Ovis aries: one gene and its partner. The protein of the gene in region 2 purifies or fractionates together with the protein of the main gene of each other region. This does not show direct contact. Links are inferred from orthologs where the notes say so. Each region holds a gene or a part of one and is shown on either strand. Other genes may lie near its edges. The genes, in order: POLR2G and RPRD1B.

What was found.
Region 1: the proteins of RPRD1B (region 2) and POLR2G purify together in Homo sapiens (affinity purification with mass spectrometry; 3 studies listed by BioGRID and IntAct, counting the BioPlex papers as one, with this or other methods). This does not show direct contact. The link is inferred for Ovis aries from reciprocal best matches to the Homo sapiens genes RPRD1B and POLR2G.

What each region holds. Positions count from the first base shown.
Region 1 is NC_056074.1:37,615,734-37,619,645, forward strand, and holds the start of POLR2G (DNA-directed RNA polymerase II subunit RPB7), read left to right. Parts: upstream 1-1,363; 5' UTR 1,364-1,442; coding exon 1,443-1,454; intron 1,455-1,585; coding exon 1,586-1,695; intron 1,696-2,887; coding exon 2,888-3,047; intron 3,048-3,568; coding exon 3,569-3,619; intron 3,620-3,725; coding exon 3,726-3,791; intron 3,792-3,891; coding exon 3,892-3,912. UniProt on the Homo sapiens protein: Core component of RNA polymerase II (Pol II), a DNA-dependent RNA polymerase which synthesizes mRNA precursors and many functional non-coding RNAs using the four ribonucleoside triphosphates as substrates.
Region 2 is NC_056066.1:66,923,169-66,926,980, reverse strand, and holds part of RPRD1B (regulation of nuclear pre-mRNA domain-containing protein 1B), read right to left. Parts: intron 3,404-3,812; coding exon 3,277-3,403; intron 1-3,276. UniProt on the Homo sapiens protein: Interacts with phosphorylated C-terminal heptapeptide repeat domain (CTD) of the largest RNA polymerase II subunit POLR2A, and participates in dephosphorylation of the CTD by RPAP2. Transcriptional regulator which enhances expression of CCND1.

The DNA of each region.
Region 1 (3,912 bases), on a different chromosome or scaffold from region 2:
TAAATATCACAGTTACTTTTGTCTTGTTTCAAATTTTTTATTATGAACAATTTCAAACGCAGAAAAGTAGAAGAAAGTGTAAGAAACCACCATTATCCATCATCTGTCTTCAACGATTATTAATATATTGCTAAACTTGTTTCATCTACGTCTTTGCCTTCTTTAGTATAATTCATTTAATCATAAGTTAAGACAACTAAATTTTTCATAACTGCTGTGTTTAACAACTGGCTTGCAAAGTGCCTGAAATATTAACAGTTGGCTTTTGTAAGGGTCTCCAGCACACCACACCATTGCTCTTGCGGGGAGGCTGGTTTCAAAAGAGGGAAGGAGGGAGTTGAGGCTGTTGAGGCCTGCCCTTTGATCTGCTGTCTGCTTCCTCATGTGGTCTCTGGTGGAGGGGATCCCCATGGAGTCTGAGCAGCTGACCAACAACCTCAATCGTTCTAGGAAATGGGCAGCATCAATGGAAACCGGTGTGTGACAGCTCTAAGGAAATCAGGCTTTCTTGCTTACAATATACTAAAACTTGCTCAGGCAACAGGCGAGTTTGTTCAAGACCCCAGGGACTGTGGAGGCTTTAGAACCAGCCGCCCTTGCTGAGCCTTTGTCATAGGGGCGGGTCTCATGGTGTTTCCGAGACTCAGCAGCCCACAGACTACATGCTCATTCTCGTTGTGCTGAGTTTAATAAAGGGACTATCTGCAAAAGGGGGGGGTAGAGCTGAAGGAACAGGTAAAGTTTGCTCACCAGTTCTACAGGCCCTTGTGTGTAAGGGGGCGGGGGAGGGTGGTTAGAGGAGAGCAGTGACTTGAGGTTCTTTTCACACCGGGAGGGGGCGCTGCCTTCTGGGCTCTGACTAGGCCGGTTTCAACTCCAAACTACAAGAGCCCGGTAATAAATGCCTGAATATGCAAGAGCCTTGGAGTCAGGCATGTTGAATTTGAATCTCGACCCTGGGTGACCTCACCCTTCTGAGCCTGGTATCTTATTTGTAAATGAAAGTAATAACAAAGCCTGCCGGGTAGGGTTGCTGTTTAGATTAATTGAGATAAGGATAGCTTCTTACTATGCTTACTATGTGAAAGCAGTCTTCAACTCTTTGCAGAATGAATAGACTCTGCTAAAGCGCTTTATTTATGCGATCTCTCATTAATTAATTCCTTTTAAAGGTATTTATTAAGCATCTAATCTATGCGAGATACTGTTATGCTTAAGGGAGTTGGGCGCTTTGACGGCTGGACGGAGGGGAGGAGCCTCATGGGTTTCCCCACCCACGACAGCGAAGCCCAATGGGGACCCGTGGAGGCTGTGAGTCCCGCCCACTTTTCGGGGCAGGCCCGGAAACGGGGTTGGAGAGGTTGCTGTATTTCCGGTCGGTGTGGCGGCTCCGCTGCTCGTGAAGCGGTAGACCCGGCTCCTGTTCAGCTTCCTTCGGGAAGATGTTTTACCACGTGAGCAGGGCACGGGGTGGCGGCGAGGGCAGGGTCAAGAGGAGGAGCAAGCGGAAGGCCGGGACTAGGGGCGGCTTCTTGCCTCATACTCCTCCCGCTCCTTGCCCGACTCCATTCCAGTTTCCCCCCAGATTTCCCTGGAGCACGAGATTCTGCTGCACCCGCGATACTTCGGCCCTAACTTGCTCAACACGGTGAAACAAAAGCTCTTCACCGAGGTGGAGGGGACCTGCACCGGCAAGTGAGTGTCGCACCCTCCCTGCCGCCTAAACACTGCGCACACGGCTTTCTATGCTTGCACCCGCTTCCCAGCGCCTACACACCGTGAAAGCTTCTGCTACCTACCCTGGCAAGCCCTCTCACCCTTCCAGGCAGTTAGCTGCTTCCTGCTTTGGGTTCCTACGGTGCCCTCTGTGAAGCTCCATAACAGAACTGCCTTTCCTCAGCCAACATTTGTCATTAACTCTGCAAACATTTCTGAAGCTCCGGCTGTGTGCCAGGACTGGGCCCTGGGAACAATGCAGTGAAAAAGACAAAATGAGGTCAGCCCTTTCTTTATCCCTCATACCCAGGGACCTGGCATGGTACATCTTGGGCCTCACTAAAAGCTTGTTGAATGAATGAATGGGCAGGATAAGGCAGATTGAGAGTTAACCGGAGGAAGGAAGAGGAGTGAGACTTGACCATCTCTGGGCTCTGCACAGAGGCGCTCCGCACATGGTGAAGTAAATGAGGGGGGAGGAGCAGGGCCGCAGAGTACTCAGGTATCCAGCATCAGAGTAAGCTGAGGTGTTCTTTGAACATACAGGTTCCTGAGCCTCATCTCATTTCTACAGCATCAAGACTGGGGACCAGCCCGGGAACAGGCATTTTAATGTTTCTCTCAGGTGATTCTGAGACATCGCCAAGGTTGAGATTAAGGACTGCAGCCCTTTTGGACACTGATTGTGAAATTATGAGAGCAGCGTTTGGCATTATAGCTGCTGCTGATTGTCCTGTCTCCTCTCTTGATCATTAAGCTCTCCTGGGGCCAGGGGGCCGACTACTCCCCCCTCTGTGCTCCCCCTTTACCTCTAGGGTCCGTGACTCTTGCAGCAGATGCTTTTTTGTATTTTTTTCCTGGCTGCGTTGGGTCTTCGTTGTTGCACGAGCTTTCTGTAGTCGCAGCAGAAATGAGAAGTGTGTGGGTTTCTCATTGTGGTAGCTTCTCTTGTTGAGGCACACGGGCTCTAGGGCTTGGGCTTAGTAGTTGCAGCGCACTGGCTTAGCTGTTCTGTGGCGTGTGGAATCTTCGGGGACCAGGGATTGAACTTGCGTCCCCTGAATTGGCAGGGGACTTCTTAACCACTGGGCCACCAGGGAAGCCCTGCTGTGGCAGATGGTTTCAGAGGCTCTTCCACACACAGTGTCTCAGTTTCTCTGCCTCCTTGCAGGTATGGCTTTGTAATTGCCGTCACCACCATCGACAATATCGGTGCTGGTGTGATCCAGCCAGGCCGAGGCTTTGTCCTTTATCCAGTTAAGTACAAGGCCATTGTTTTCCGGCCCTTTAAAGGGGAGGTCGTGGATGCGGTGGTAACTCAGGTCAACAAGGTAAGAGCATCCACAGGGGAGGTAGTGGGAAGGTCCCTCTCTTAGAAGATCTGGGATGGGTCCCACTTTGGTCAAATTCTGTGTCTTTGGTCAGATCACTTCTCTGTGCTTCAGGTTTCCTCACCTGTCAAATAGTATGGTACTGCCTCACTCAGGGGCATGTAAGTCAATAGTGAGTCAGAACAGTAGTAGCCTCCACTGTGGACCAGGTAGTGTGCAAAGCCTCTGACTCTGAAATGAGTGCTTTTATCTCCACGCTGAAGCTTGGAGAAGTTGAGTCTTCTGGCCACGGTCACGTGTCCAACAAGTGTTCAAAACCCAGAAGGACAAGTTCTAGGTCTCAGCTGTTTACTGCTACACTTCCTTAGCTTAGAATGAAAGCTTGGAAAAACAAACACACACATGACAAATTTCAGAGTGGTTTCAGAATATGAAGAACATTGTTAGGAACCAGATAAAGATGGGAGGCTTAGGAGACTGGGGGACAAAAGAAAAAGCAAGGTCTCTCTTTTCCCTTCTAGGTTGGACTCTTCACAGAAATCGGGCCCATGTCCTGCTTCATCTCTCGACACGTAAGTCTAGGCACGCTGGGTGGGTCTAAGAAGGAGACCTGTACTCATGAGAATCTACTGAAGCATCCTTTTCAAGTGCTCTTACCCAGTTTGACCTTCCTTTCAGTCCATCCCATCAGAGATGGAATTTGATCCTAACTCCAACCCACCGTGTTACAAAACGATGGATGAGGTGAGTGGGCAGAAGTTGGTGAGAGGGCCAGGGGAATGAGCCACTCTGAGGGAGGGTATTGGCCTGGGGGTTTCTGAGTGTACTGTTCCCTCCTCCCCAGGACATTGTGATTCAGCAGGAC
Region 2 (3,812 bases):
TACAAGGGCCCTTGGAGAGTGCTTGGCAAGAAGCCCACATGACTAGAGTGTTCTGAGCAGAGTGGGGCATGATCCAACTTCTATTTTAGTGGATCACTCTGGTTACTATGTTGAAGACAGACGGATGGCTGGGGGACAAGAGGCAGCAGGGAGAGCAGACAGGAAGCTACTGGGATAATTTTAGTGAAGATGGTGGAGATTCCCACTAGGTGGCAGCAGCGGAGGTGGTAACAGGTGTCAGGTTCAAGCCGTAGTTCAGATCAACAGGAATGATGAGGGTCATCTACTGAGATAGGGAAGACCATGAGACAAATTTGGAGGGAAGAGGAGGAGTCTGGTTTGGGACAGGTTAAGTCTGAAATGTCCTTCAGGATATGCGACTCAGTAACACTCAGAGCAGGAGGCTGGATGTATGGGTCTCAAGTTCAAGGAAGAGGTCAACCCTAGAGATGTAAACTAGGGGATCATTACCACAAAAATTGTTATTTAAAGTCATCAAACAGGATGAAAGGAACTGTCAGTGAAATTAACTAGGGAAGAGAGCTAATTACTCAAAATTAAGAGAAGAAGGGAAGAAATCAACAAAGGAGCCTGAAAAGACACGAGATTAGAGAGGAAGGCCAGAACATACGCCGTCCCAGCTTCCCCCTGCCGCCAGTAACACAGCATCAGAAACCTGGTGGCTTAGAACAACACAAACGTACTACCTTGACATTTATCATCATGGCCCTTTCCTCTCTCTTCAAAATGCATCCCTCCAACTTCTGCTTCCCCAGTCACATCTCTTACTCCTGCTCTCCTTGCTCTTCTAAGGACCCGGCCCACTTGACTAACCCAGGAGAATAACCTCCCCGCCGCAAGATTCTTTACTCAACCACATCCACAAAGTCCCTTTTTCTATGTAAGACAATATATTTGCAGGCTCTAAGGATCAGAACATGGACATTTGGGGAAGACCATTATTCTGCCTACCACACCAAGTGAGAAAGTATTTTTAGGAAGAAGAAATGATCAACTGGGCCAAATTAAGAATGGGCAAAAATATATAAGGCCTTGATAAGACTAGTGAGGGGGGCACTCTCCATCCCCCTTCTGATGTCTACGTCAGAAACTTTGTCTCTTTTTATACTCTGCACCACACACAATGGGCAGAAAACATTCACCACTGAATTTAGCAACATGGAAGTCATCAGCCAACACTGATAAGAGCAGTCAGTGAAGTGAAACCAAAAGGGGGAGTGGGGAGAATAGAGACAGATGAGTATATGCCATCTATTTAGAATGTTCAGCTACACAACAGAGAAAGGAGACAATAGCCAGAGGAATGTACCCGGCCAAGAAAAAAAAATTTTCCACATGGGAAAAAAATATGTATTTTTATGCTATGGAGAATGACCCAGTGGGGCGGGGGCGGGGGAGGGACTGGAGATGCAGGAGAAAAGGGGAAAATTGTTGGAACATGCCCTTGGGTAGGTAAGAAGAAACAGGTTTACTAGGCTAATGGGCTGCTTTAGAAAACAGCATGCTCATCCACAGAAATAGGAAGAAAAGTTAGCCAATGTTTATCATTTGTTTTGTCCAGCCACATACAATTGTGAGTGGCGGCTGCCAGGAGCTGGGGAGTGGATGGGGACAGTGAATTGTTACTTTAATGATAGACAGTTTCAGTTCTGCAAGATGGAATGAGTTCCAGAAATTGGCTGTACAACGTGAATGTACTCAGCTCTTCTGAATGGCACACTTCAGAATGGTTAAGATGGCAAGTTTTGTTAGGTGTATTTCACCATAATTAAAAATCAAAATAAATAAATACTTTTTAAAAGCCATGTAAGTCCTTTCCAGTAGTCACGTATGGATGTGAGAGTTGGACTGTGAAGAATGCTGAGCGCCAAAGAACTGATGCTTTTGAACTGTGGTGTTAGAAAAGACTCTTGAGTCCCTTGAACTGAAAGGAGATCCAACCAGTCCATTCTAAAGATCAGTCCTGGGTGTTCTTTGGAAGGAATGACGCTAAAGCTGAAACTCCAGTACTTTGGCCACCTCATGTGAATAGTTGACTCATTGGAAAAGACTCTGATGCTGGGAGGGATTGGAGGCAGGAGAAGGGGATGACAGAGGATGAGATGGCTGGATGGCATCACTGACTCGATGGATGTGAGTTTGAGTGAACTCTGGGAGTTGGTGATGGACAGGGAGGCCTGGAATGCTGCAATTCATGGGATCGCAAAGAGTTGGACACGACTGAGCGACTGAACTGAACTGAAACTGAAGTCCTTTAAGTCAGTGAAAACAGACAAATGCAATTACACATGCTGCTAATTTTATGTTAACTTGTTTTCAGTTTTGCAGACTGTGATTCAAAAAGTTGGGTTTTTCCAGGAGACTATAGGGTGAAGGGGAAAAAGAGCAAAAGGCACTGAGGGTGTGTGTGAAGGGTGATTATAAGGATCCGAAGCCGAGTAACAGAACACGAGGCCAGGAGGGGGCTAAAGGTTGTGAAAAGGGGGAAAGATCAACAGTCTGTACGCTCAACAGGTTGTTCGATCCAGTGGGTTTGATATCTGGGGTGGGGGGAGCAGAGAGCGAGCCAGGAGGCCAGGCTGTGTTCTCCAGCTATCCCACTCCTGCCTGACGGGCTTCCCGGCCCCTCTGTCTGAGTAGCACTGCCTTCCCTCACGTCTCCTCACAGCTTGCTTCCTAACTGGAGGCGGGGGCGGGGGCGGGGCGGGGTGTGGAGTTCACGCGCACTCCTTCCTCTTGACTGACCACGCATAGAGCGGGAAGAATGTCAACCACCCCTCCCTGTTTAATTGGGGGTGATCATCACAAGGCCAAGGTGATATGATTAACCATATAAACAGGGGGTTCCCGGCACTGAAGAACCTCAAGGGGGCGTGGCAGGGTACAGTGTAAAAATCATGACACTGAGCCATACATCTCTTTTTTGTTAAAGAGGGTCTTGAGTTTAATGCTTCCCCCTCCTTTGCCCTCCTGCACACACAGTTTGTACCCTGGTTTCAAAAGACCTTACTTAAACTGAGTACCACAGGCTGAGGCACGTTGCATTTCTGCAATAACTCCTCGAGTATTCAAGCTCAGACTATGCCAGCAGCTCCTCTGTTCAGTCTGTGAGTTATGTTTGCAAATCTCAAGACAATAGAGCACCCAGCCCCAGGTGGAAGGTCTCTATCTGCAGACGTTGGCACGTCCTGGGGTCTGATGCACTGGAGATATGTTTCCCCTCCCTCATCCTTCACCCGACCTCTAACTTCTCACCTGTTATTTTTTCCAAAAGAGAAACGTCTTGCACTTCCTGGGGTAAAGAAGCAATTTTCTGTCGGACAGTAGCATCCCCTGATGCAGCATTTTCTAGGTCCTGCAAAGCTTTGATCAGCTCCTCAGTCTGTACAAGGAAAACAAAGATAACACCATCCATGAAGATATGTGGGGATGTGGGGTTTAGAGAAACTTAGCTGGAGTTCAACAAGGTGAAGGCGAATTCTATAAATGATCATCCCTGACATTTAAAAAAGAACCACTGTCCTTACCCCAGAGTGTATACTGAATCAGTGATTCGGATTCTAAGAGAATGCACACAGTATTTCTAAGTATGAGGCAGAACACAAATGAAATTCTACATAACTGTGAAAAAGAATTTTTTTTAAAGAGTATGTTTTTGGAAACTTAAGAAAATGCAGTCTGGTTTACACTGCTTAGTTTCAAAGGATGCGTGATATCTAGTATAGAACTAAATATCTAGTATATTTAGTATTTACTCTAAACCTCCAGTTTAGACTAAAGGAACATGTATG